4 linked regions of the Lonchura striata genome follow. Each later gene encodes a partner of the first gene's protein in a complex. Links are inferred from orthologs where the notes say so. Each region holds a gene or a part of one and is shown in the gene's direction. Other genes may lie near its edges. The genes, in order: TAF10, TAF13, TAF11 and TAF4.

The links.
Region 2: TAF10 (region 1) and TAF13 share a complex: the UniProt entries of both Homo sapiens proteins name them as parts of the TFIID basal transcription factor complex. The link is inferred for Lonchura striata from reciprocal best matches to the Homo sapiens genes TAF10 and TAF13.
Region 3: TAF10 (region 1) and TAF11 share a complex: the UniProt entries of both Homo sapiens proteins name them as parts of the TFIID basal transcription factor complex. The link is inferred for Lonchura striata from reciprocal best matches to the Homo sapiens genes TAF10 and TAF11.
Region 4: TAF10 (region 1) and TAF4 share a complex: the UniProt entries of both Homo sapiens proteins name them as parts of the TFIID basal transcription factor complex. The link is inferred for Lonchura striata from reciprocal best matches to the Homo sapiens genes TAF10 and TAF4.

The regions. Positions count from the first base shown.
Region 1 is NC_134604.1:116,987,398-116,993,999, reverse strand, and holds TAF10 (transcription initiation factor TFIID subunit 10), read left to right. Parts: upstream 1-4,383; coding exon 4,384-4,564; intron 4,565-4,886; coding exon 4,887-5,038; intron 5,039-5,194; coding exon 5,195-5,259; intron 5,260-5,361; coding exon 5,362-5,476; intron 5,477-5,930; coding exon 5,931-6,020; 3' UTR 6,021-6,097; downstream 6,098-6,602. Other genes in the region: TPP1 (tripeptidyl-peptidase 1), read left to right, coding at 292-476, 686-884, 2,083-2,271, 2,358-2,430, 2,678-2,798, 2,906-3,064, 3,134-3,271, 3,850-3,990. UniProt on the Homo sapiens protein: The TFIID basal transcription factor complex plays a major role in the initiation of RNA polymerase II (Pol II)-dependent transcription.
Region 2 is NC_134604.1:23,956,203-23,963,107, forward strand, and holds TAF13 (transcription initiation factor TFIID subunit 13), read left to right. Parts: upstream 1-4,109; 5' UTR 4,110-4,150; coding exon 4,151-4,177; intron 4,178-4,295; coding exon 4,296-4,374; intron 4,375-4,830; coding exon 4,831-4,928; intron 4,929-5,758; coding exon 5,759-5,929; 3' UTR 5,930-6,397; downstream 6,398-6,905. Other genes in the region: GTPBP8 (GTP-binding protein 8), read left to right, coding at 156-274, 718-802. UniProt on the Homo sapiens protein: The TFIID basal transcription factor complex plays a major role in the initiation of RNA polymerase II (Pol II)-dependent transcription.
Region 3 is NC_134632.1:4,361,416-4,368,564, reverse strand, and holds TAF11 (transcription initiation factor TFIID subunit 11), read left to right. Parts: upstream 1-4,806; coding exon 4,807-4,974; intron 4,975-5,045; coding exon 5,046-5,185; intron 5,186-5,318; coding exon 5,319-5,406; intron 5,407-5,569; coding exon 5,570-5,666; intron 5,667-6,244; coding exon 6,245-6,375; 3' UTR 6,376-6,637; downstream 6,638-7,149. Other genes in the region: ANKS1A (ankyrin repeat and SAM domain-containing protein 1A), read right to left, coding at 4,017-4,213. UniProt on the Homo sapiens protein: The TFIID basal transcription factor complex plays a major role in the initiation of RNA polymerase II (Pol II)-dependent transcription.
Region 4 is NC_134619.1:4,881,992-4,889,360, reverse strand, and holds the start of TAF4 (transcription initiation factor TFIID subunit 4), read left to right. Parts: upstream 1-4,354; 5' UTR 4,355-4,410; coding exon 4,411-4,726; intron 4,727-6,683; coding exon 6,684-7,369. UniProt on the Homo sapiens protein: The TFIID basal transcription factor complex plays a major role in the initiation of RNA polymerase II (Pol II)-dependent transcription.

The DNA.
Region 1 (6,602 bases):
CTCCTGCAGATCCCCGTTCCGTGGGATCCAGTGACCGTCCCATTAACAGCGTGGGGGGTGCCAGGCTGAGGCTATGGCTGAGCCACAGGAAGGCTGAGGAAGGCTCAGCTGTGGGAAGGCTGAAGAGGCTCTTCCCCTGGGCCAGGGCTGCAGGGCTGGGCTCTCCAAGCCCTGCTGTTGGCCTGCCCGTGTAGAAGTGGGGGCAGTGATGGGGAGTCCAAGGGCTCTGTCCTGCCCTCCCAGGGCTCTGTGCCCTGACAGCCTCTCCCATCCCACTGGGCTCTGCTGCAGTGGGTGGGTTGCACCGGTTCCCCACGGAGCACAAGGCAATTAGCAGAGCCAGGGCCAGGAAGGACGCAAAGCTGGCACGAGCATCGTTCCACCTGGGCGTGACACCGGCTGTCCTGCGCCAGAGATACAACATGACAGGGGGGGATGTGGGGCTGCTGCCCAACAACAGCCAGGCCTGTGCACAGGTAAGCACTGCCTTGTCAGAGGCATGTGTACCGGGGCAGTCCAAGGGTTTGGTGCTGGTCTGGGGGTCTTGGGACAGCTGGGTGTCCCTCAGTGGCTGCTGGGAGCACCTGGTGTAGCACAGACCCGTGCTGGGCAATTTCCTACGTCAGGATCAAAGCGTTACCTTGTTTTTTTGAGAGGAGACAACCTGTCCCTCTGTATCCCACAGTTTCTCGAGCAGTACTTCCACCAAGCTGACCTGGCTGAGTTCATGCAGCTCTTTGGCAGCGGCTTTGCCCACCGCACGCAAGTGGACCGGGTGGTGGGGCACCAGGGCCGTGGCAAAGCCGGGCTGGAGGCCAGCCTGGATGTAGAATACATCATGAGCACGGGCGCCAATGTCTCCACTTGGGTCTTCAGCAACGCAGGTACTGGGGAAGAGCCACGAGGGGCAGGGGGAAGGAGAGCACCCAGAGAGAGGAGGGGAGGGCCTGGAGCAGGGAAGGGAACATTTGGAGGTTTGAGGGAGGGGGCTGGAACAAGGGAGGGGAGTGCTGGGAGGAGTGAGGGGAGAGCTTGCAGGGCTGTGCAGACAACTGGCTGTAGTACTGCCCAGGTGCATCCCCAGCTGCTGTGGGAGCGGACCCTGTGTGCTCCCCAAGTCAGAGCTGGCACCGCATTCCCAGCTCCTAGGGACATCACTCCTGCTGTGTGTGGTGACTTTGAACTCTGTATACCTTCAATCTTCAGAGTATCCTGAAGCAGGGTTTCTGTTGCTAGCACCATACAGAGCAGCTGCCCCACTCAGCTCCATGAAGGAGGGCACAGCCCTCCTCCCGTGGGGTTTTCCAGCTCTGCTGCAGCTGAGCTCCCACCCACGAGCCTTCCAGAGGAACAGATGAGGGAGAGTGAGGGAATTGGGAAAATAAATTGCCAAACAGCCTACACAAACACAAACAGGGCACAGTGCTAGGGGCAGTGTCCTTGTCCCAGACTGGGAACTGGCTGAGCAGGTGGGTGCCACAGGGACAGCAGCCCTGTCCCTGATGGTGACGGTGACAGCAGATGAGTGCTGCCCTTCCCTCCGTCCTCACACAGTTACTGGTATGGGAAGGATGCAGATGAGTGACATGGGTGACCGAGAGTGAGTAGGTGTGCCTGGGACGCTGCTCCCCTCCCAGTGGAGAGGGCTGGGAACAGGGAGGGACCTGGGCAGGTGCAGGTGGAATGTGTGGAGGTGGCACATGCGCTTCTCTTCTGGGACCTGTTGCCAGAGGAGGAGCTGAGGCCCTGCTGGGCCCACAGGTGCCCATGTGGCTGCAGCCCTGGGGCAGAGTCTCAGAGAGGAGGTGTGAGTGTAGCCCCCTGTCCTGGGCTGATGACAGTCTTGCCAACCCCATGGGCTGAGCTGAAGCTCAGTGCTGTCAATGTGAGGAGCCCCAGGATGAGCTCACGGAGCTCCAGGCCGGATGTGCTGTGACTCCATGGCCCACAGGAAGGAGCACTTGGAGCTGCACTGCGAAGGAGGGTGCTGGTGCTGATGAGGCAGGGCTCCTCGCACTGTCTCCCACTGTCGCTGATGTCGGAGGAGCTATCCCACGTGTCCCTTCCCCGATGTCCTTGCAGGGCGCCACGAGAGCCAGGAGCCCTTCTTGGCCTGGCTGCTGCTGCTCAGCAACATGTCAGCGCTGCCCTGGGTGCACTCGGTGAGCTACGGGGACGACGAGGACAGCCTGTCCTACGCCTACATGGAGCGTGTCAACACCGAGTTCATGAAGGCGGCGGCCCGCGGCCTCACCATCCTGTTTGCCTCAGGTGCAGCTGAGCTCGAGCACCGAGTGGGGCTGGGGAGGGGGTGCCTGGGGCGCCGTGCTCACCTGTCACCTGTTCCTGTGTTGCAGGTGACGACGGTGCTGGCTGTCGGCGAGAGCATGGCGGGAACCACACGTTCCGGCCCAGCTTCCCGGCCTCCAGGTGGGTGCGAGGGGTCAGCACAGCCCTGCGGAGGCACAGCCGGCCCCGGCCCCAGAGGGGTCTGAGCTCCTGAAAGGTCACCTGAGGGTCCTCACCAGCAGTCGTACAGAGCCCAGAGCTGCAGCCTGTGCAGCTGCGGGATTGGTTTGGTCTGTGGGGTGAAGGTGTGGTAGCAGAGGGGGCTGTTGGTGGCTGCTAAGGCCCAAGCAGCCTTGTGCCCACCGGCAGTGTCCCCCTGCTTCCCCAGCCCCTACGTCACCACCGTGGGTGGCACGTCCTTCAAGAACCCCTTCCTGGTGACGGAGGAGGTGACGGATTACATCAGCGGGGGTGGCTTCAGCAACGTCTTCCCCATGCCCGAGTACCAGGTGAGGGACACCAGTGCCGCCAGGCTGGGGGCTGCAGACGGGGCTGCAGGGTTAGGCTCGGGGGGGACAGTGGCCCTGGGGATGCCCACAGGCCGTGCTATCCCCAGGCCGCTGCTGTTGGGCATTTCCTGCACTCAGCCTCGAAGCTGCCGCCCAGCTCCTACTACAACAGCAGTGGCCGTGCATACCCCGACCTGGCTGCGCTCTCTGACAACTACTGGGTGGTGACAAACCGCATCCCGCTGCCCTGGGTGTCGGGAACCTCGGTAAGGAGCTCACCCCCTGCTGCCCTCCAGCACGGCGGGGCCCTGGGCTGAGCGGTTGTGCCCACGCAGGCGTCCACACCGGTGGTGGCAGGCATGGTGGCACTGATCAATGACCGGCGCCTGCAGCGGGGGCTGGCACCCCTTGGCTTCCTCAACCCTGTGCTCTACCAGCTGCAGAAGCAAGGGCTTGGTGATGCATTCTACGATGTGAGCAGAGCAGGGAATGGGCTGGAGGGGCTGTCCTGGGGGCTGAGGGGACTTCGGGTGTTCTGATGTGTTTGGCTGAGGCCTGGGGTGGGCCCATCCATGGGGCTGGGAGGGCCGTGTGTGCTCCAAGGGCTGTCCTGGGGGCTGGGGGTTGTCCTGGGGTTCCTGCTCCCAAAGCTGTGCCTGGGGCAGGGCCAGCAGTGTCCTGCTGGGGGGCAGGAGAGAATCCCTATGGCGTTCCCATGGGAGGGGGTCCTGGGGTTGGCCTCGACGTTTCCATGGGCGTGATATCCTTGGGGGTCCCTATGGGCTTCTGTGAGCTCTGTGGGGGTCCCCATGTCAGATGTCTGGGGGCCCCTGTCCCCAGGATTCCTGTCTCAGGGATGGCAGGGACAGCTGTCCCTGGGTCCTGGGGACTGCGGGCAGGGTCCCTGTGCCCATGCTACCCCTGTCCTGGGTGGTCCCTGGGCCCTGGGATCCCTGTCCCAGGCCTGTGTGGGGCTCGGGTGCTCCAGAGGTCGCTGTCCCGAGACTTGGGGGGCGTTGCCGCGGTCCAGTACTGAAGCTGGTCCCCGCAGGTGATCCAGGGCTGCCACCTGTCCTGCCTGGATGGCACCGTGCAGGGCCAGGGCTTCTGTGCCACCCCCGCCTGGGACCCGGTCACGGGCTGGGGCACCCCCAACTTCCCGCGCCTGCTGCGGGCGCTGGGGCCGCGCTGACCGGGGCCCCGTGGCATGACCGCGGTGCCGGGCAACGGGGCACGGACAGCGGGACCGCACGGACAGCGGGACCGCACGGACAGCGGTGCACGGGCCGCGGGACCGGACAGCGGGACCGGACAGCGGGACCGGACCGCGAACGCCGCGGAGCTGGGGGCGGAGCTGGGGGCGGAGCTGGGGCGGCGGGGGCGGAGCAATAAACAAGCGAAGCCCCGCCCACCGCCTCTGTTTGGACCCGTGCGGGGCGATGAGCGTCGGAGGGCTGAACCAATGGGGGGCAAGGCGGGGGCCCAACGGGGCCAATGGGACGGCGAGGGGGGCGGGGCGAAGGAGCCGCGGGGCCAATGCAGCGGCTCGGCATGCGCAGGCGCGGAGCGGGCTGGCGCCGGGACCATGAGCGGCAGCGGCGATCCCGACCCCGCGGCCGCGGCTCCGGCTGCCCCGCCGGGCCCCGCCGACGGCAGCAAGCCCAGCCCGGCCGCCGCGGGAAGCGCCGGGCCCGGGGCGGCGCCGGCTGCGGGGGGCGGTGCGGCGCGCGCCGCCGAGGGCTGTGCGGCCGGCGGGAGGGGGCCCGGTGAGTCGCGATGGGGGCGGCGGGAGATGCGCCCCGCTCACGGGAGCCCCGCGGGACGCGCTGAGTTACTCGGGCCGTGGGAGCGGCCCCCGGGGTGTTCCGGGGTGCCCCGGGTCCCGCTGGGCGTGTGTCTTGCGGTGCCGGTGCTGTGCGCGGGTCTAGCTCTGCCCGTGCTGTCCCGCGGTGCCGGTGCCGTGCGTCGTTCTAGCGCTGACCGTGCTGTCCCGTGGTGCCGGTGCCGTGCGCGGTTCTAGCTCTGACCGTGCTGTCCCGCGGTGCTGGTGCCGTGCGCCGTTGTAGCGCTGACCGTGCTGTCCCGTAGTGCCGGTGTCCGCGGCCGTGGCCGCTCCCCCGGACGGGGCCATGTCTAACGGTGTGTACGTGCCGCCCGCGGCCAACGGCGACGTGAAGCCGGTGGTGTCCACCACACCGCTCGTGGACTTCCTCATGCAGCTGGAGGACTACACTCCCACGGTACCGACACACAGGGCGGCTCCCGTGGGACGGGACGGGATGGGACACGGGGCAGGTCCCGCGGTACTGGGGTACAGCGCGGCTCCTGTGCCACGGGACATAGGATGTAGAAACGCTCCGCGGGGCTGTGCAGCTGTTCCAACTCTTCCCTCCCAGATCCCGGACGCCGTCACAGGGTATTACCTGAACCGGGCAGGGTTTGAGGCCTCGGACCCCCGCATGTGAGTGGCCGCAAGCTGGGGGGGAGAGGCAGGAGCCACGCAGGGTCCGGCAGAAGGGCCCGCGGACCCTGTTGCCTCACCAACACGGTCCCTGTCCCGCAGAATCCGCCTGATCTCGCTGGCGGCTCAGAAGTTCATCTCGGACATTGCCAATGACGCGCTGCAGCACTGCAAGATGAAGGGCACAGCCTCGGGCAGCTCCCGCAGCAAGAGCAAGGTGAGGGGCTGGGGGGAGTGGGGAGCCCTCCCTTGGGATGGGGCTGAGCCGCAGCCACCGAGTGCAGGAATGTGGGGTGTAGAAATCCCAACATCTGCGGGCTTATGCTGGGTCCCTGCGGGCGGGGAGGGGCTGGCGGGGACACGATGGGGGCATGGAGCTTGTGGACACCCTTTGGTGCCCCTCCACCCCAGCAGTGGTTGCAGCTCTGGGCTTGGGGAGGAGCTGGAGTGAGGGGTGCTGGGGACCCTCCTAGTGCCATATCTGGGGATCAGGGGCTCCGCAAGGCCAGTAGGATTTGGTGCTAGTTGTCCAGGGATATCTGCAGGGAGGTGGGCATACCCCAGTGCTGCCCAGCAGCTCCTCTGGCTGTGGGACACGCCTGTCCCTGCACTGTGGGGGGTCCCACGGCCCCGGCTGTCCCTGCTGTGACCGCCTGCCCCATGTCCCTCAGGACAAGAAGTATACGCTGACCATGGAGGACCTGACACCGGCGCTGGCTGAGTATGGCATCAACGTCAAAAAGCCGCATTACTTCACATAGAGCACGGGGGAGCTTGGGCAGCTTGTAGGGGTAGTGTCAGTGCCATTAAACACCTCACAGGGTTTTGTGGGAAGGCAGCCTTGCTCCTGTGCCTGCGTCCTCAAGTGCTGGCCCTGGTCCTCCACGTGCTCACCCCCCTCTGCTGGTCAGAGGGGGCTCGGTGCTCCCAGCAGTACTGGAGCAGAGTGGGGTTAGGGCACAGGGACTGCCCAGCACTCTTCCTTCTCCTCCTTCCCTAAACTGCCCCTTGTCTCCCACAGGGAACACCATGGGGGCTGCACAGGCAGCACGACAAATGGAGCCAGGGATGGGACCCTGAGCCCACCCCTCCTGCACCAGGCCCCTCCCGAGGGGGCCCTGTGCCTATCTACCCTACTTGTGCTGGGCACCAGAGGGTTGCTGTGGGTGGTGACTTGTGCCCAGGGCTCTGTGGGCTGCAAGGTAGCCCCATGTCAATCCAACCCCACCCTCAGTCCTAGACATCCCCTGTGAGTCTCAGCCCCCCAGTCACTCCAGCCCCCCACCCCAAACAACTCCCCCCATTCCTCCGCCCCGTACCCCAGCAGCTGGTTCCATACCAAA
Region 2 (6,905 bases), about 93 Mb from region 1:
GTGAACTGTGTTAGACTATTTTTTCCCCTAGATATGACCTTTCAGAGCTTTCAGACTGCTTTGTAAGACCGTTTAGGACTCTTAGAGATGTTCCAGATTAACAGCAAAATCATCTTACTTTCTTCTTTGAATCCTCTTTTTCTGGATCCATGCAGGTGGTGTTAACAAAAATTGATCGAGCTTCCAGGGGATTATTGTTAAAGAACGTACTAGAGATCCAGGAGTTCGTAAAGAAGAGCACTCAGGGATGCTTTCCTCAGCTGTTCCTGGTCAGGTAAAGCTCCTCTCCACTGCTGCTGTTGCCTTTCTGGTAATGAGTTCAGTAGGGCAAGATACCTAAAACAAGTCTGTCTGCTCTAGAAGCAGCACCTCTCTGTGCCCCAAGGATAGAAGGTGGGCTGCTGATGGGGAAATGTCCTTTTTCTTCTTTCCCCCTTCTCTGCAAGTGAGTGAAGTTTGTTTCCAGGTGCTTCTTCATTTGACCATTCTCAAAGCAGAGCAGCAGTTCCTGTGCAGCATGGTAGCAGGCCTTCCCATTTTATTTGGAGTTCTGGTAACAGTAAGAGCTGTAATTGTTGGATTACATAGCCAAAGTGCAGGCTTTTCCCAGGGTGTACTGTGGGACATGTAACTGAGCACAGCCAGTGGCTATTTGCCTTTATTACTCCAAGACACGTCAGTATGTGGCACTGAACATCTATGACTCTTTTTCTACAGCTCTGTGGAGTTTTCGGGGGTTCACTTGCTCAGGTGTTTTGTAGCCCATGTTACTGGAAACCTGCCTATTGTAGAGGCCAGCTGAAAAGACCTGCTGATCTGCTTGGCTCATCAGGAACAAGAGGTACCAAAAACAGGTCTCGGTTTTTGTTGCAAATAACCCAAGTTACTATTATGGTATTTTTGAATAAATTAGTATTTATATAGCTAATTTTTTTCTTTATTAAGTTCATCAGTTCAGGAAGTTTGCAGTATGAATTAATCCAAGTTACTATAAAACTGTTTCATAAAGCCTACGTGATTGTGCCAAGGAGAAAAAAAGTAGGTAACCTCCATAGAGAATGGAAGTTTTAATACACCATTTCCTCTCCCTACACTGAAATGTTAAAAAATCTACTACTCCATGCCTTACCTCTGCTATATTTAAGATACTAGATACAGTCTAGTAATATTAATAAAGAGGCATTTAATCTAGGAAAGAAAAACTACAGCCCTAACATTAAGCAAGCCTAGTTGAACTGAATGATACACAGAGGCTTACTTACTTCTCTCAGCTGGGATTAGGATTAGGATAGCAGGGACCAAAAACTACCTCCTCTGCAGCCTACCTGCTCTGAGGCCATGCATTGTGGAAATAGCCAACCTGTTGTCTGTGAAAGTCTGTTTAACGTCTTGTATATTGTACTTTTGTAAGTCCTCTGTGTCCATTAGGTGCAGCAGGATGGCATGCCTTGCTTGCAGACATTGAATTGTCCCTGTTCCACAAGGATGAAGGAAAGAACACATCTTCTATGGGATCTGCTTTTCCATGAGTGTTGACTTGAAACAGAGTGGAATAAAAGACTGACATCTAGAGGAACCCTGTCCTGCACACTTGTCATGAGTCAGTGCTGCATTTACCTTCTGTTTTGAGATCCAGCATGAATTTCTGCAGCACCACTTGGATGAATTGCCAGATCTGAGGCACAACATCCATGATCTGTAGTGGCTCTACTCTGGCAGCTGAAGCACAGCACTGTATGCTTTAGGGGAACTCTGTTCCACAGCAGCTAAGAGCACCTGAAGCTGTCCAGTTAAAAGGCAGAACTGGACAAAACGACAGCCATAAATAGCAGCAGTCATACAGGAGAACTTAATCTGAAGCTATGAAGTGCCTGTGTCAAACCCTGGCACTCAATCTTTGTCAGGTCAAATGTGGTTATGCAGTTGTCAGTTATTTGCATTAAGTGTTTAAACCTCAAAAAGGAAAGTTCTTTTCTAAACCACTCTGATAGTGCAAAAGGACTAGAAATACCAGTTTCATTATGCAATTTCTTGTAACACACTAGTTATGAGACAAGATCTGTTTTCAGCATACATGTAAGAGGAGAATATGAGGAATACAGTAAATATGGCTCGCTAGCTTCTGCGATTAAACCTGTAATTCTGTTAATATTTTATCTCTAATCCCAAAATGCTGCAGGGCAAACCAGCCCAAGGGATGCATGATCCTAGAAATGCAGTAGTAGCTATATAGATGGAACAGGTGAAAGTGAACACTTCAGGAAAGGCCTTTTTGTAAATCCTTTAAACCAGGATCTTCCAAAAACATCGGCCTTGTCAAGGCTGTAATTTTCAGGGCCTCAGCCTTGACTGAAGGGCTTCTGAAAAGAACCCTGAATATGTAAAAAAGTGCAGTTCTGGTTTTAGTCCCTCTTCAGAACAAAACCCCTTACATTTCATTACAGTGCTAGGAAGTCTTTTACTAACCACTTAAATACATTAAATACGTCCAGTTAATCCATTTTTATAAACAAGCTGGATGTGTGTGCATGGAACATTAGGTACCATCTTCTCCAGAAGAACCAACTTTACCTCTGGACACATCATGGTTTTATTCGGAAGCGCTTCAGATACTGGAATAACTCCTGCATTTTGCTCTTAGCTATTTGCAGGAGAGAACACTAACAGTTTGATTCTTGAGTGTGACAGTGCCCCTGTGGCAAAACAATAAATAAAATCAAGTCCTCCCCCTAAACAGTAAAATTTATTTCAGTGCATTTGTGGGAACAGGGATTGGGTACACAGGTGCCTTGACACACTACTGGAGGTTTTTTTGCCAGGTTCTTAAGGTACCGGCTGAGTTGCAGAGTGAGGAGCTGCACTTTCTCAGGCCAGAGACACAAAAGATCTTCCTTTCTTTCCCCCTCATTAATGAATGGTGGGGTGGGCTTGGCAGCATGCTGATACAGTAGAGCTCATTTCAGTTTTAAATTCAAATGTCTTTAGTTGTTTGCAGTGCATAAGCTTCACTCAAAGCTCCTGTCATTACCTGGTAAAGCTTTGCCTCTTCTACAGCTGTTACTTACAGAAATCATGTTGAGTATTAGCTTCCATGGAAAAGGATTTCATCTTGTGCGTCTTCCCTGGTCCTTCAGCAGTACTTTGTCCATTTTCTTCCTCTACCATGTCTTGGGTCTGGTCTGGTTTTGTCTGTTGCCATAACTGACACTACAAAGGCAGTATTTTTGCAATAGTGTCCAAGATGAGAACATTGCAATCTGGACAGGTGCACTAGTAGATCAGTAAAAACTGGTTGAATAATCGAGCACAGAGCATAGGAGCCGGTGGCTCATACTCCAGTCGCATGGCAGTTAAAAGTGGAACACGGCAAGGATCCATTCTGGAAGGTGTCCATTTTAGCATTTTTATGAGTAATCTGGAGTAGGTGCATTGCTGGATTCACCTACTTGCAAGATTAAAGCTAATGTGCCTAGGGCACCAGAGTGAGGGGAACAGTGGGCATGCTCAAGGGCAGGGCTGGAGCAAAGGGGCTGACAGCAACTGTATGAAATACAACAGGACTGGAGCAGCTCCCCTACAAAGACAAGCGCCTTTGGGCACTGTCCAGAAGGTGGAAACCTCACGGCAACCTTCCAGTATGTGAAGGGAGCCTAAAGAGAAGCTAGACGGGGCCCATCAGGAACTGTGATAGGACAAGGGGACAAACCGGAAGAGGAGGCTTATCTTGGACAACTTGGTCTCGTGGGAGGTGTCCGTGTCCACGGCAGAGGGGTTGGGATTAGATGATTTTTAAGGGCCATTATTCCAAATCTTTTACATTCCATGATTCTGTGAACATGGGCAAGTGTGCCTCGCTGAAGGGAAGGAGAAGCCCCTGCCAACCGAACAAACCGACTGTGCAAAGCCACCCTTTCTGACCTGGTGGCTGACCCTCTGTGGAGCAGGGGGGTTAGCAGACACTCCCGAGCTCTCTTTCGAGCCCCGCTATCCCGATCTAGCCACCCGCCACTGAGTGTCGTGGCCAGGTTGGGGCAGCCGCGCCCGCGGCCGCGCGGGGCCGACGCCCGCCCGGGCAGGCCCGGCGGCGCCTCCCGGCGGGGCCGCGGGGCGGGGCCGCGCTGCCGCAGCGGTTCCGGGCCGCCGGGCGGCCATGGCGGATGAGGAGGAGGACGTGCCGGTGAGTGCGGAGGGCTGCCCTCCCGGGATCCGCGGCCAGCCGCGGGAGGAGAGGCGGCGGGAAGGGCCGGGGCCGGACGGGCGCTGACCGCGGCCTCCCCTGCGCTGTGCCCCTGTAGTTCGAAGAGGACGCGGAGGACGCCGGCGGGGGCCTGGACGGTGGGCAGGGCAGGAGGAAGCGGCTGTTCTCCAAAGAGCGTAAGTCGGGCCGGGCCATTCAGCTGAAACCCCGAGCTGACAGCTATGGGGTCCCAAAACTCATTTCTTAGCAAAACAGCGGCTTTCATAATATGCCTTGGCTGCAATTGCAGAAATCTGCCATGTAGACCCTCCCCCTCAAAAATACTGCTAGTGCATCCTCTAGACATAGCTGTGCCCAAAGTTAGCTGCACTGTTACTGTGCAGTGCTTTGCAGCCTAAATGAGAATTCAGAGAGCCTGTCCTCAGACATTATTTTCTGTATGTACAGCTCCTGTACCTACAGGAGGGCTTTTGTTGTCTTATGTTTATTTCCTGTATGTTTCCTCAAGATTTGTCCTGCCTGACAGATGAGAGTGCCGTCCTGGTGCAGGAATGTGCAGGCTGGTGAGCTCTAACTAGATGTGTGCAGCACTGAATGGATGAAAGCCTCACACTGAGTGTTTCTTTGTGCAGTAAGGTGCATGATGTATGGATTTGGGGATGACCAGAACCCTTACACAGAATCAGTGGACATTCTTGAGGACCTGGTAATAGAGTTTATCACTGAAATGGTAAGTCAACTCTAGATGGCACAGTCAAAACATCCTCACCAAACTTTGCCTTTTTTGAAGGTTAATACCTCCGACTCAAATATTGCATTATTCCAGGCCCCAAACTCATGGCATTAATAGGAGAAACTTAAACTTGGATTTTGTTTTCCCAAGATTAAAGTAAAATTTATGCATCTTGCTCCATGTGGATTTAGAACACTGAAGGCTTTAAGCAGCATTTAGATTAATATTGTAGGAGGGGAGGTACCCATCTGACTTTGGTGTTCACTGTATGTGCAGCTGACAGAAGACAAGGCTCAGATTTGAAAGTCAGGTTTTGTTTGCCCAGTGCCTGTACATGGATAGGAACTTAGCTCTGCCCTCCAAAATGAATGCATTCTTGGGCCTGAGCCCATTTCTCTTCCAGACCTAAATGCTGTTTCTAAGTATCCAAACATATCCCTTTGTTTTGAAAGGTTGGTCTTTCCTATCTTATCAAAATGTTCTGCACTGGCCTCTTATACAGTTACTTCATACTGCTTCTAAGTTGTGCCTAATTTTCAGCCATTCTGCAGGCTGAATGTCCTATGTGTAATCTGTCCTTAGTTTTGATACCATTACCTGATACATTTGTAGTGGTTATGTTTGGGGTGTAACTGACAGGCAGCTCGGGACATTAGACTAAGTCCATGGTTTACTGGGAAGTTCTCTTGTGACTAGGATGATGGTGCCCAGAATCAGCAATTGCTTACTCTTTTATTATAAAATGTCAAGGAATAAAGTGGAATTGAGACCTTAAAAAAGCACCATGGCAAAGGAATACTGTTGCCTTTTTTTTTCTCCTCTGACAGACACACAAGGCCATGTCCATCGGGCGCCAGGGTCGGGTACAGGTTGAGGACATCGTCTTTCTAATACGCAAGGACCCCCGGAAGTTTGCCAGAGTTAAGGACCTCCTAACTATGAATGAAGAACTGAAACGAGCCAGAAAGGCTTTTGATGAAGCAAACTATGGGTCTTGATTCTGTGCACAAGCTGTACTGGGGCATTATTTGGGCACCTGCTGCCAAGTAAGAATTGAAGATTGCGCGTGTTGTTTGGAAGGGTTTTTTAGGATGGAGGTCACTGTTGGGATGTCTACCCTCACTCCCAGCCTTTTCTGAGAAGTATTCAAGCAGCTGAAATGTTACGTGACTGTATGTGGTATATTTAGGTATTTTTATACCATTTGATGAAATGAGAAAAAGCTCTAAAAGTTCCTGCAGTGGCAGGAGTCTGTTTCAGGTAGGCCTGTGTTTTATCAGATGGCTCAAGGGTTGATAGTTCATGATTTTCTAAAATTGTTTAAGTTGTCACTGGGTATTCCTGTGATAGGAAACCCTGAAAATGGATCTTGGTTATCTGTATAAAGACCTTAAACTCAAACTACTATCAAAGTTGTGCTCTTTGCTCTGTACATGCTTTTTGAATAAAACATATGTTTGTGCCCATGTTTTGTAACTAAATATACATTGATCAGTTCATACCATGTGGGTAATACAGGCCACAGCTGTGCTTTTCCCTACTTCTGGAACAGCTTGGGGAGGTAGGTTCAGTTAACTCCTGATTTCAGAGCAAGCGTAACAAATGCTGTAACAGCAATAATACTGCATATCAAGGCTGTCCCCTCTACAAGCAGCACAGAAGGAAGGGTGTAAGGTTTGGAAATGTGTTGGCAAGTCTTTTGTCCGAAGCAGCAGTGAGTGATCAGCTCTGCAGCCTTTCTTCCATGGATGGGAATTATCTGCACTGTGGATTTGACAGCAGCATTTGACACGTGGTTAGGCAATAGAGAGGGGACATTGAGTAAAGGTAACAAAGTCAGTGTTCCTGGACAAGGGTAGGTAAAAGGATGGTGACTATTCCTTTATTTGGAACACCCTTAAAAATATAAAAATCAGCCACTAAAAAAAACCTGGTTTACAAAAACATAATAAAATGGTTGTTACTTTCTTAACA
Region 3 (7,149 bases), on another chromosome or scaffold:
CCCAGCCAGTAACTGCAGCCTTTGAATTCTTAAAGAAGTACTTAGGAAACAATTCCCAGCACAAGCACCTTCAGCAATCCCTGTGCTCAGGTGTGTAATTAAAGAGGGTTCAGTCCCACAGCGCCGTGTGCACGGGAGGGTGTGGAGAAGGTTTAAAGTGGGTGAGATGATTAATCACAGCAGCAGGATGAGGGGGAGACCCAGCATTGCCCTGTTCTGCGGGAATGCAGCAGGAGCAGCTCCTTTGTGATGGGGAAAGGCAAGAGAGGGAAGCACCTTGCTTGCACAAGGCTGGGTTAGCTGGACCTTGGAGCCCCCCGGTGATCCTGCTGCTGTCTCTGCCGGACACTGCAGGACTCACTGTGTGCTCACCCACACGGCCTGGGGACACCTGGAGGGACAGACAGACAGCCCGGCCCTGACCTCGGACAGGGCAATCCCCCCCTTCCCCAGGGGGAAATCCTTGGCACCGTGTGCCTTCCCCGGGGAATGGCAGCAGACAGGCACAGTCGGAGCCTTCCCCAGGAGGCACCATCAGATCCCTGCTGTGAACCATCAGCAGCACCAGAACAAATAGCAAACCCCACTTTTAAATTTTTTCTGATTCCTAACCACCCTTGGACTGTTGGAAGCCACCTCAAGTGTTCTGCCATCCTGCCACATCACTCTTTAAACCAACCAGACCCCCTCACCAGCAGCAACAGCTGAAAATGGGCTGGAGCAAGGGTTGTGGCTTCTCTGGAGCAGCACTCGACCCTTCCCACAATAGACGTGCACCCAAACTCCTCATCCCCAGCAGAAGCATCTCCCTGATACGCTCCCTGGGGACTGCATATCCCATCTGGGGCTCAGCAGCAGCCTCAGCTTCCCCCTCTGGCAACACAGATCCAGACTTTTCACAGCAATAGATGGAAATAAAAAGCTGCTTCTGCAGCTTTGGCTTTAACACAACCCATCCCTCATTGCTCCTGGCAAAACCTCCTGAATGCAGCCTGATAGCTCAGCCACAGACTGTTTTGTTGTTTCCCACCCCTAACTTCACAGTAAACCACTAAAAAAAAAAAACCACAATACATCAAATTCTGCAGCCTCGATGCAGAAGTGGCTCATAACCCCAAGGAACCTCAAGGATTCACAGACCATCTCTGATTTCTGGACTTGCTGTTGCTCTTAAGCCTCAAGCTGTGCATGCACAGAGTGGGTTTTCTCTCTGGCTCCTCACACGGAGCTCCTGCCTGTGCCACGGTCCATGGCTGGAACCGGAGAAGCCGGGCCTGGCCAGGGAGCCAGGACCTGCTCCCACTGCTGGGCCAGGCCTGCAGCAGCTCCCCAGGCCCTGGCAGATCCCAGGGGCTGCGTGGACGCCAGCAGGGAGCCGAGCCTTCCAAAGCCTGGCAGCCATCACCTCTTTGTGAGCCCACCATCTGCTCTGGCAGATCCACACTCCCATTTCCCCCTCCTGCATCCTCCTCGTTTCCCCAGCTCTCTGTCAGCACTCCCCATTCCCATCAGCTTCCCATCAGGATTTATTCTCCTGCCCAGTGCCCTGAGTGTTGCACCTGGCACATTCACCCCTCCAGAGACTTAAATTGTCTTTGGAGCTCCTCCTCCTGTGGATTACCCCACTCCATCCCATTCTGTTTCCTGCTCACCTGCAGCCATAGGTGATTGGAATCTGTGCTGCCTCCACACCCAGCGGGCCCTGCTCAGCCTGGGAAGGAGCAGCACAGCCCAGACTGTGACAAAGTTCACATTTAACTGATAACAGACCAATGGCAATTCAGGTTACCTGATAAAACACCACATTGCAAGGAATTTACTGCCAGGGCCATCTTCTACCACTTCATGGAGCAGCACTTGCTCTCTTTGGAAGAGAAATGGCCCAAACCAGTGAGTGCCAGCTCAGAGCAGGTGCCAGCACAGCATGTACCAGGTGTAATGTGGGAATTCCAGGGAATGCCTGGTTTGTACCCCATCCAAAACTATATCTTTGAGACACTGGAAAGGCAGAACTGACAAAAAGAGCTGCAACAGGCACCTCAGGAGAGAAGAGCTTTGGGAGCAGGTTATCCAAACAGTGGGACTTAAACAGAAACTAAAATAGGGTCCTGAAATCAGGCAGAGAAAAGAACAAAGGTAGCAGCCCAGCAGAGTGTTTATGTTCCTGCTCTGGGAGTGGAGAGCAGCTCAGCAGCTCCTGTGTCAGGAGAGATCCTTACGGACACGAGGAGCCTTGGCAGGAGCAGGGATCAGCCTGAGCAGGGTCACGGGCTGCCCAAGGAAGGGAAAACACAGAGCACACAGGCCTGACTGAGGGCAGGCTTCTCCCCACAACCAAGGAGGGCAAAATCCTACATCAGAAAAGTTCCCATGTTCTAGCATTGGAAAAGGTGATGTTTTCTCCACCCTAAAATTCATCTGTCTGGTCCCTGCAGCCTGTCCCAGCCTGTCTCCTGCACTCCCTGGCCTCTCCTTGCAGGGACACTCAGCAGCTGCTTCTCATCAAAACCTCACCACGAGCTGGAGGAGTCCATAACAGAGCCAGAGCCCAGCAAGTGCTCGGGAGGTGGGAAACAGTCACAAAGCTCCTAAATAGCACCAGGTGGCAAACAGGACACGTTGCCATGCCCCACAGTGTGCAGCCAGACCAGGAACTGCTGTCACAGGCACAAATCCCAGCTGTACAGAGAAAGGGGCAGGTCCAGTGTCACCAGCAGCTACAGCCATGGTTGTGAGCATGGAAAACGAGTGACAGCTGTGACAGGCACCCTCCTTCAGGCTGTGCACGAAGCAGTGTCCACATGTGAGAAACAGTAACAGGTCAGAGCCAAAGGGACAGCCGGGCTCACTCTGGCACCACGGGACTGCTCCAGGACCATGGCACCACGGGCACTGTCCAGGAAAAGGCAGAAAAAGGCCCCATCGTGCCCAGGTGCTGTTGGGCACTGGCGGATCTGGTTCAGCTCACAGGGTGTTCAACTGCACTGAGCCACTGCACTGATCTGAGGCCCCTGTGGGCACATCCATCCCACTCCAACAAGGGCTCAGACTGTTTAATGTAGCAAAAGAGAAGAACAAAGCTCGACCCAAGGGTAGATTTACGTTTCAGAAAGGCAAACGTGTGCCCCAGGGCAGGGTGAGCTCTCGCATGCCTGCAAGCTTCTGCCACCAGCACAACCTGCAGGGATCCAACTGGTTTATGTGAAAGGAAAAACAGATGAAATTTGGCCAAAAAGGGGCAAGTCACATCTCTCTGAACAGCCAGGTTGTGTAGCAACAGTATCACTTGGCACTGGACACAAACCTCCTCCACACCTCCCGTACAAACCAACTGCTCAGGGACCAGGAGCATTCCCAAAGTGCCCAAAGCTGCAGCTCCAGCAGCGAGAGGTGATGCCAAAACACGAGGAAGAGAAACAAAAGTCCAAGAGCTTCAACCAGCAAATTCCACAGCATGGGGCTGAGGACGAGCCGAGCCCAGGCACGACAGAGTGTCACCGCCAGCCGCGACAATGCCAGCGCAGGGCCGGGACACCTCGCGAAAGTCATCCCGCAGCTCTGGCAGTGCGGGAGCCTCCCCGGGCACACCGCAGCTCCCAGCGCCGCAGCGGCTGGTGCCAGGGGGGACGGGCAGCACCCAGCGCTGGCACTGCCGGCTGCAGACAGCTCGAAAGTCACCCACTCCCCTCTCCGGAGGGCACAGCAGCCCGAGGAGCTCCCTCTGGCACGGCCCCCCGGCATCACCGGCCCCACCAAACGCTCAGGGGTGCGCAGCTCCCACGCCCCGCTGCAGTGTCCCGTCCCAGCCGGGGAGCAGAGCGGGGACAGACCCCGGCCTGCCCCGCAGCGCTGCGGCCCCAGCAGCCCCCTCGCTGCACCCCAAGATCCAAACCCCCCAGACGCCCCCAGCCCCACACACGCCACCCGCGGCTCCCGCTGCCCTCCCGGCCCGCAGCGCCGCAGCCAGCGGCAGCAGCCCCCGCCGGGCCGCGGATCCGTCCCCGGGCCGCGCTCACCTCAGCAGGCTGGACAGCGGGTGCCCCACACCGCCGCTCCCGCCGCTCCCGCCGCCGCCTCCCCCCGCCGAGCCGCCGCCGCCGCCCCCGCCGGAGCCGCCGAAGCCGGAGCTGAGGCGCTTCCCCGAGAGCAGCTTCTCCACGGCCGGGAGGTTCCCGGTGCGGGCGGCCTCCAGCAGCTCCTGCTCCTTCCCCATGGCCGGCGCGGCCCCGCCGCCCGCGCGACTTCCGGGGCGGGGCCGGGGCGGGCCGGGGCGGGGCCTCGGAGGGCGCGGCCCGACGGGCGGGGTTTGATGGATGGGCGGTGCGGGGGCGGGGAGCTGTAACGGCCACGCCCCCCGCGGTGCCCGCCGTGCCTCGGCCGCGCCCGTTTCGGGCGGCTCTGGGGAGTTTTCCCCGCGGGGCCGCCCTAGCGCCGTGTCCCGGCAGGGTCCAGGCGTGCGGAGGGCGGCTCGGAGCGGGGTTGGTCGGTCCGGGCGCGCAGAGCCCGGGGGTGAGGCCCGCACGGGGCCCCCTCCGCAGCCCCGCTGCCATGGCGACAAGCCCGGCCCCGCGCGTCATTAAGCTGCGCTGCCGAGTCGCTGTTGCCGCGGCAACAGGCACCGCCCTCGTTGTCATCGGGACGCGCTGTCGCACCTCCGTTGCCATGACTACAGACGCCGTGCCCCCCCGCCTCGCCGGTGCGCGTGCGTCATCACGAGGCGCCCCGCGTCACGTTCCCGTGGCGATAGGCCCCGCCCCTCGCGGCGCCCGCAGTGTTTCGTCATCAGGAGGCGCCGCGGGCGCGGCCATGGCGGACCCGGCCCGGGACGCGCTCGGTGCCGCCGCCGCTGTGCCGGAGCCGCCGCCCGCAGCCGCCTCCCCGCCCGAAGCGGCGGCCGCAGAGGCGGCGGGAGAAGGCGAGGTGCGGGAGGCTGGCGGCGGCAGCGAGCTGAAGGCGGAGGTGGCGGACGGGGAGGTGAGGCGGGAGCGGGAGCGGGGCCGGGGCGGGCGGCGGGGCCGCAGAACGAGCGCTGCGCTCCCGCCCAGGTGAGGAGCGCGGAGGGGGAGGCGGCGGACGCGGAGGAGCCGGGGCTGCAGGCGGGTGCGGCCCGGAAGGTGAAGCTGGAGCTGAAGGAGCGGAAGGAGAAGAAGCAGAAAGTGGACGAGGACGAGATCCAGAAGATGCAGTGAGTGCCTGCGGGTTCGGGAATCGTGGCCCCGGTGCCGCAGCCCCCTCCAGATCCCCCTCCCCGCCTTCCAGCCCGGCGCTCCCCGCTCCGGCCTCCGCGGGGCTGGGAGCGATCGCTGCGTGCCCCGCAGGATCCTGGTCTCCTCCTTCTCCGAGGAGCAGCTGAACCGCTACGAGATGTACCGGCGCTCTGCCTTCCCCAAGGCTGCCATCAAACGGGTACGAGAGCGGCCGGAGCCCCGGCGGGGCTGGGCCACGGCCGGTCCCGGGGGGCTCCAGCTCCAATCCCCGCAGCGGGAGCTGGGGCCGCGGCTCCCCGAGGGGCTGGATGGGCTGGGAGGTCACGGGGGTGGGGATCTGACTGTCCCTGTCCCTGTCCCAGCTCATCCAGTCCATCACCGGCACCTCCGTGTCCCAGAACGTCGTCATTGCCATGTCGGGCATCTCCAAGGTGTTTGTTGGGGAGGTGGTGGAAGAAGGTGAGTGGCACCTTGCTGAGAGGCTAGGGTGAATTCCCTGCTTGGAGCAGGGTGTGGAACAGGATTTTCATGGTTCTCCAGCAGCTCTGGCTCACAGCAGAAGCTGCCACAGCCCCTCTGATCCCCCAGCACTGCTGCTTCTCCTCAGGAAGAGAAGCTGGGCTGGCAACTCCGTCCCTCAGCCCCAGAGCAGCTGCATGATGGGGATGCCATTAGTGCTGCAGGGACAGAGTGGCTCCAAAGCCTCTAGACCTGCCCCAGTTCCTTTGTGGGATGAGCTCAGATCAGTTTGGGACAGGGAGCTGAGCCTGCTCTTTCTGCTCAGCTGTTGGGGCTCACAGCCCACCCACCCCCAGAGGCTCTGAGCTCCTCCACCCCCTCCACAGTTCCTGAGGGGTTCAGCAGCTTTTTGTCCTGCCTGCTGCCCTGGGACTCCTGTCAGGGAGGAGGAGCTGGTGCAAACCCCAAGCACAAACATTTCCTGTTCCTTCCCAACTGCACTGAAGCAGCAGCAGGGGCTGGGCAGAGCTCAGCTGGCCCCTGCCCTGACCTGTGTGTCTGTCTGTCTATCTGTCCAGCTTTGGATGTGTGTGAGAAGTGGGGGGAGCTGCCCCCCCTGCAGCCCAAGCACATGAGGGAGGCTGTCCGGAGGCTCAAGGCACGGGGGCAAATCCCCAACTCCAAGTACAAAAAGATCATTTTCCACTGAGAGAGGCTGAGATAAGCTTCCTGTAGGACCTTCCCACGTGGACTCTTCCCTAAGGCCCTTTTGGGGTGACCTGTGGGACCTCAAGGATGTTCCTGCTGTCCCTGCCTGTGCTGGGCAGAGCCTGGATGCACCCTTGACCTGGACTTTGGGGAGAGCAACATCCAGGGGCTGCAGAGCATTTTCTGCTGGCCCAGATGTGCCATCTGTGCCCAGATGTGTGGGTTTTCTTTTCAGTGCATTAAACTTATTCTTGTGTTCATAACCAGGCTGGGATCTGCTCTTTGTGTGACCCAAGGTGCTCCCAGAGCTGATTCCCTGGGAACATCTGAAATCAGGGTTCAGCTGTGCTTCCAAATCCAGAAGCTGCCCAAAAAACAGCAGCAGTGGGAAGAGAGGGGGAGGGAAAAGCAGGAAAAGAGGCCAGAGCCTGGAAGGAGGTTAATGAGTTTAATTCTGCTCGTGGTTCATAGAACCAATAAACCCATCAGTGGAAACAAACTGCAGCAAAGTTGCAATACTGCCTAAAATTCAAATTCAAGTTCAGACTTGCACATTGCCCCTGTCCCCTTCCAGGGGCCCTGGGAGCTGCTCCTGACCCTGTGAGAGGTGCTGAGACCACGTGCTCTCCCATGGCACCTGTGGGCTCTCACTGGAACAGAGGAAGAATCCTTAAATAAGAGGCTCCACAAAGTAAACTTTGATATTTACAATCTGTGGGGACCCAGGAGGTTTTGTCCTCCCACACGTGTGGGTTTTGGGTTACACTCCTTTTTA
Region 4 (7,369 bases), on another chromosome or scaffold:
AAATATGGATGTAGGTAGGTATGATTATCATGAAAGAAAAAGGGCCTGTACTGTTGCTGTCCAAATCTACTGTTCACCTCTTTTTATTTTACAATGCAAGAGTTAAGACATTTTCTTGCGGCATACCGTACTTAATTATGAATATTAATCCCTATTAGGAGCATTAGACTTCAGGGATTCACCTAAGGACAACTGAAGTACATGGGATGAGTTGAAGAACAAAACTTTAACAATATTTTTAGATTTCAGGGAGAAGACAATCAAGAGTGTAGACTAAAAGGGGCATTGAAGTTGCTTTATTTACTTGTGCATGTCTGGAGTAAAACTGCATTTGTCCCTAAAGTCAAAGAAAAATACTTGAACCAGGAATAGTTTTCCTATAGATTGTCAAACATTTTTATTCTGGATGCAAATGAAGTCTTGTTGCTTTTGCAGATCACTTGCTAGTGGAGACTGACACCCATTTGCAGAAGAATCAGCACACAGACTTTCAAGGTTACCAATGGGCAGCTTCTGCACAGAACTGCATCGTTTTCAACTAGGACTTCATTCCTTTGCTCCTAACACTCTCTGCTTACCAAATTATCCATTGAACTCCTGTGCTCCTCCAAAAGAAAAAAAAATAAAAGGTACAAGGCAGAAAGGTAGGGAAGGATACTGGCTACAAGGCTAGTGCAGCTTTATGAATGAACCCAAAATTTTGGTTTTGCTGAACACTCTCCAGTGGAAACTGACACAAGTGTGGATTTTGTCATCTTGTTTGACTGAACTTTTGAAATCAAGGTATTACTGGTAAAATCCCAACTTTCAGTGTTTCAAATGATCCTGGGTGAGGAGCAGAGAGAGGCAGGAAAGAAGAGAAAGAAATCATCTATCAAAGCAATACGTTTTTCATCTATTTATTGATGGGCCTTTAGGCTTCTGGTGGGTCAGTTAAGACTAAAACCATCTGTAGGCTTCTCTGTTCTGTCCCTTGTCACCCCAATCCATACCTAAGTCAGATGTTTCTGTAACGAGTTCTAGACTAACTTCATTTTTAGAAAACAAACAGGAAAATGGCATTACCTTAACCTCTGACAGTCTCTGTGTCATGATCTACATTGTAGATCTAGGGGAGGAATAAGTATTTTAATAATAATATAATAATATAATAATATAATAATATAATAATATAATAATATAATAATATAATATAAAGGAAGGAGGTTAAGGGAACTGACAATTCTCCATTTTTCTTGGATAGCTCCTGCTAGTTTCTGCTCTTTGACACGCAGAGAACCCATATGTATCTGTAATGTTCAAGATCTTTTGATGTAACTGATGGGTGAATTCCACAGCCTTCACTGTATATTGAGTCTGACTATTTCTACACCAACACTAATAATTACCTGTACTCAATTACTAGAATCCTTGTGCAAGTTGCTCTTTTTGTACCATTTAAAATGGAGTAGTACAGCACAGGAGCTGGAATCCCTGTGCTGAAGAATTCAGTCTAGAAACTTACTTCCAACGTCAAACAAGAGACAGAGTGTATGAGAAGATAAATTATTCAGTAATGGATCCTACACACTTATAATGCACAAGTTGTAATGAATCTCAGTTGCTCTTGTAATTTTGTAAAGTTGTTTACCTAATATGGTAGATGTGCCATATGGTACACTAAAGAGAGTGTTAGAATGAGGACGTGAAGATTTCTAGGTTTTTATTTCTAGTTTTGTAGGCATCTGTAAACTACATTCAAGCTGTCCTAGAATGTGAGCAGAGCAAGAATGCAGGCTGCTCTGCCCCTTCATGCTGACTGCTGCTGCCACCTGATAACATCCTCCATCTCTTCCTCCCGTGCTCCTCAGGCACTGTGGCCCAGCATGGGGCTGTGCCCTGGCTAGATGCCATCAAAGAAAGTCTTTCAGACACTCTGCATCTTTAGGCTGACTTAGTTTGAGCCAAGCTTTTTCACCTTTAATACATTATTTGAGCAGCTGGTTAACTCTTCTGGTGGGTAGGGAATGTGACCAGGCTTCTATTCCAGAGAGTTCTTTGGTATGTTGCTTATAGAATTTCACCATAGCTAAAACTAGCAACGGGCTTGACTGAGGCAGCAGCAAAGAGGTTGGGACTGCCCTGCTCAAAGCAGCATTTCTGGCTTGTAAGAAATGGGTAATATGACCTACAGTGATGCCTGTAAAATCACATTCACTTTGCAGTACTGTAATTTGTCAAAAATTGATAAAATGGGAGTTAAAATTCACACAGATGAAAAGGGCAGTTTCTTGCTCACCCTTGAGTTTCAAGTGATGCCTGAGAAAAGCATTTAAGTACAAGAATAAAATATTAATATAAAACTCAGAGGCTGTAGGCAGTTTCTCAGGATGATGCCATGGGGGTAAGTGAGCAGAGCCTTGGGAAAGGCTTAACATTGTAATTTTTAGTTATCAGCCAAAGTCTACTGCAGGTGAGAAGAGGACATAGAAACTAGAAGAGCAATATCCCTCACTATGAGCTGAATTTCTAGGATTTTTGATTTAAAGGGACTTGCACTATTATTTGGGGCCTGTATGTTAAGAGCAAATACCAGTTTTTATGTGATTTTTTGGCAAACAGCTTCTCCCTGGTAGGTACGTTTGCATATTTGAGGACAGGGTGAGAACTGGACAGTACTTCACCACTGTTCCCATTGCTCATGGAGTCAACTGTCAAGCAGATCAATTCAATTCATGTTAGAATTAAGTGATCAAGTTAAGTGATCACCACAAATATGTGATAGGGGAAGTGCTGACACCCACATCTGGGCAACCCTACGTACAGAAAACTTGGACATATTTAAATGTATCCCCTTTTCATAGATAAGTCAGGGCTCTGGTTCTTCCAGGTCTCCACCAGCCTCCAGGCAGGAGGCCAGTCAATTCCCCAGAATCATCAACCAGCAGGTGCTGAGCCCATCCCACTATAACAGAGTTCCAGTCTCTAATGCTGCCCATTCCCAAAATGTAACAGCAAAGCTTATTTTAAAACCCTGATATAAGAGGTGCTATTTTAAGCTTGCTACCCCTTAAAACTTGGAAGTTAAGTTAAATTAGGCATTGGAATAAGTTGCCCAGAGAGGTGGTGGAGTCACCACCCCTGGAGATGGTTAAGAGGAATCTGGATCTGGTGCTGGGGGGATGTGATTTAGTGGTTTAAGGGTTACAGGGGTAGTGCAGTTGGACTTGATCTTAAAGATCTCTTCCACCCTTGATGATTCTATGATTCTATTCTGTGAAAGATAAATCATACCATCTGATAACATTGTTCCAATTGCATCTGGTAATACTGTTCCACTCATTCAGTTTTCTGGAGAAGCAGCGCCTGGCAGAAGAGCGCATTTATTGAAAGGCGGGTTGTATTTTTACGTTATTTACTTCCTTTATGATGGTTGCACAACAAGGTCAAAGTGCAGCCGCGTCCTGTAGGCGATCGTGTCCACCTGCAGCCGGCGCCGGCCGAGCTGCGCGGGCCGGGCCCGGGGGCTGCGCTCCCCGCCGAGCGCCGCTGCGGAGCGCGGCTCTCCCCCAAGGGTTAAGCGGCGGCGGGGGTGTAACGCGGGCTGACACACGGGCGGGGATCGCCCCGCCGTGCCGGCTCGCAGCTGCGACTGGACCGTTCAAAATTGCCGTCTCCCTCTCTTTTCCCCCCCGCCTCCCCTCTCTCTCTCGCCTTCCTTTTCCCTTCCCGGCGCTGGGCTCGCAGCCGGGCGCGCTTTCCCGGAGCTGGCCCCGGCCGTGCTGAGTCAGACCGCGCCCCGCGCCCGCCCCCGCGGCCCGGCCGCACTGAGGGGCTGCTGCCCCCGGCTCGCCCCGCCGACGGCGGCGGCAGGGAGGCAGGCGCGGGGGCTCCTCCTCGCCCGCTGCCCCCGCCCGGGGCTGGGCGTGTGCCCCGCCCGCCCCGCCGGTGGATCAGTTACACGCAGCTGGCACAGGTGCGGGGCGCCCTTCAGACTCGCGCCGGCGGGGGAGACCCGGACGCAGAGAGCAGCAGGGAAAACATGCAGCCATTTTGGGCCGAGGCAGACAAAGAGCCGCCGGCGGCCGCGGCCGCCCCCGCCGCCCCGCGCGACTCCCGAACCCCCCGCACCCGCGGCGCGGCCGCACCGAGGGGCCGCAGCCCCCGCCCGCCCGCGGCCGCCGGGGGGCCGCCGCCGCCGCCCGACTCCCAACTAAGCGATCGCAGCCATTTGCACGGCCTTTTATAGGCGGGCGCCGGCCAATCAGCGGCGGGCGGAATCCCTGCCCGGCCGGTGATGTGCGGGCCGGGCGCTCGCGCGTGCGCTGTTGGGCGGGGGGGCCGAGTGTGAGCGGGGCGGGGGGAGGAGGGAGCCGTGAGAGGGGAGGGGGGGGAGGAGGGAGCCGCTCACAGGAACCCTCCGAAAAAAAGATGGCGGCGGGCTCGGATCTGCTGGATGAGGTTTTCCTGAACACGGAGGTGGATGAGAAGGTGGTGAGCGACCTGGTGGGCTCCCTGGAGTCCCAGCTGGCGGCCTCCGGCCACCACCACCAGCACCACAAGGCGCAGGAGCCCCTGAGGGCCGCTGGGGGGCTGCTGGGGAACCATGTTGTGAGCAGCAGCAGTAGCAGCAGCAGCCCTAGCCCCAGCCCTGGAGGAGTAGTAGTAGGAGGCAATGCTAATGTCCAAACAGAGAGCAGCAGCGGCAGCAAGATGGGACTGAGTGCCCCAGAGATCACAAAAGCAGGTAACGTGGGCAGGGGTGGGGGGCTCTGAGGGAGAGGGGCCCTCCCCTCCCCCCACTCTCCGGCTCCCGCTGCCTCCTTCCCTCACTGCTTTCCCCCCTTTTCCCTCTCTCCTCCTTCTCGTTGTGGCAGGAGCGGGAGTGCAAAGGGTGGTATCGATCATACGGGGGAGAGCCTCCCCTCATCATGCCCCCTCGGTGTGTATCCGCGCCTCTGCTCCCTCCCCTTTATTTTCCCTCCTCGCCTGTGCTTACTCGAGGGTGTTGGATCCTGTGTGGGGGCAGCCGCCCCGCAGAAGGAGCCGGCAGTGCCCGTCCGTGACTCTGCCGGTCCCCTCTGCTTTTCCTGCCCTTGTTGCTGGAGTGTAAAAGGGCTCTGTTAATCTCGGGGACTGAAGGAGGCAGAGCCCACCCCCTTGGTCATGGCTGTGCCTCCCATGCCGCCTGTGATTGCTCCCCTTCCCTTTCCAGGGGTGGAGGTTATGGGGGGGATTCCCTCTTGATAATGCCGCCTTAGCTGTCTGTGTAAATGCTCCTTCCCCTCCCCCTTCGCTGTTGCTGAAGTGGAAGGGGGTGTTATTAATCATGACACCTATTTCCTGTAGAGGAGGAAGCGAGGGGGGATTTCAAGGGGAGGAAGTCCCTCAAAATGCTTCCCCCCCATATCTGCCTGCCTTGATATTCCCCTCGCACCCCCTCCCTTGTTCCAGGGGCTCGGAGGGGGCATGGGGACCTCCCATTCCTCCTCTGCCCTCAAGGGGGGGTAGTCACAACGCCGGGTCCCGGCAAGGGGGGGAATTCAGGCCACAGCACCCCACCTTGCACAGCGCCTTCTCCCACCGCCCACCCCCCGAGCTGCCTGGGAATATACCCCCCTTCGTGTCCTGAGGCTTCTAGGGGGGCAGTGTGAAGGCTGGGACTGAGGGCTCACTACGTGGGAATGGAGGGAAGCTGGTTTTTTTCAGGGGGATTGAAAGAAATGTCTCCCCACAATCTCTCTGCAATTCCTCCCCTCCCCCCCCCTTTTTTATTTTTGATTTTGTCTTGCTGAAGTGTAAGAAGATACTACAGACCGTCTGTTATGATTGATGAAGCTCTTCTAGGAGGATCTCCTTGACCCTTATAATGTGCATCTCAGTGTCTGCCTGTCACTATTCTTTTCCCATTTCTGTCTCCTTAGGGCCAGGACCTGGACTGTGTGTGATTGTACTTGTGCTAACACCAGGCCTTATCAAGGGGCATGAGGATTATTCAGGACAAGAAGCTACATCATCTTGTCCCTTCTGAAAACCAGCTTTGCTTTTTATTTATTTATTTTTAACTATCTCTGGCTGTGGGAACTTCAGCTCTGTTGGAACAAATTCTGTAATAAGGAAGAGGGGTCTTCTAGAAACCTGCTCCAGGCCTTGCAGTACTTCTTATCTTGCCGGGCTGATGTTTTCCTTTCCTTTCACTTTTCATATTTTGCTGTTGCTGAGCCTCCTGATCTGACTGACTTACTTTGTAGGAGATGACAGGATTAGAGACTAATGTGTGCTGGGTATAGGGAGTATGTCTTAATAATGTGTCTTCCATGGCCATTCCCCCCCTTGCAGTTGCAGTCCTGTTTCTAAGTGGGATGTCAGGCTCCAGAATGGGGAGGAGGTCTTAGATGATCTTCTTACTTCCCTTGGTTCATACTAAATCTGTTTTCCCTGTTTTGTACTGTAGTGTCAAAAGCAGGGGTGTTACAATTAATTGTTACAATTAATACTGAATCTGCCAGTCTTTGGTGGGATATTGGAGGCTTTAAGAATATGTCTTCAAAGCCGTGTTCAGTTTGTACTCTGTCCTGTTTTTGTGGCTCCAGACAGGCAGCTTGGGAGATGGAGAAGACCTGGTGATAAGGGAGAACATTCTGTCTTTGCTGGACTTCTCTTCTTGCTCATTCGCTCTGTGTAACTTCGTTGTTGTTTTTCAGGGGCAGGAGGAGTGCAGGGGGGTGTTATTAATCATAACACCAGGTCCCAGACTTCAGCTCTGGATGGAGCCACCACAACGAGCACCAGCACCACCACTGCAGCAGCAGGAGGATCTGAAGTCACTGCTGCTCCAGGGACCCTCAGTCAGGGCAAATCGGTGGTTATCAGCACCATGGCAACTGCCTTGTCCACCAGGAATGGCAAGATTGGGACCACGACGGTGCAGACTTTGAATGGGAGTAACGTGGTGATGAACTCTCACCACACAGGAAGTGCTGCTTTCTCTGGGACTCCTGTGACTGCCAACCCCGCTCCTGCACCTGCTGTCGCCCCTCTCGTTAACAATGGACCTGGATCTGTGGGGAAAGGAAACGCTGTTAATGCTGTTTTGCCCTCAGCTTCTAACACTGTCATCCAGACTTCTTTCCTTAATACTGCTGTGTCCTCTGCATCCTCCTCCTCACCCACAGTGATCTCCTCGCAGCCACCGCCGAGCGTTGGCACTGGGGCGCCCACGGTAACGCTGGTGAGGCCCCCCATCCACACAGCAGGACCCACGGTGGCTGCGGCTGCTGCGGCCACTCAGAACGGGAGCAATACTGTGATCAATTCAACCATCAGTGTGGGGAGTTTTCCTGCGGTTGCCACAGCCACTGTGGGATCTGGAGTTTCCCTCCAGACGTCA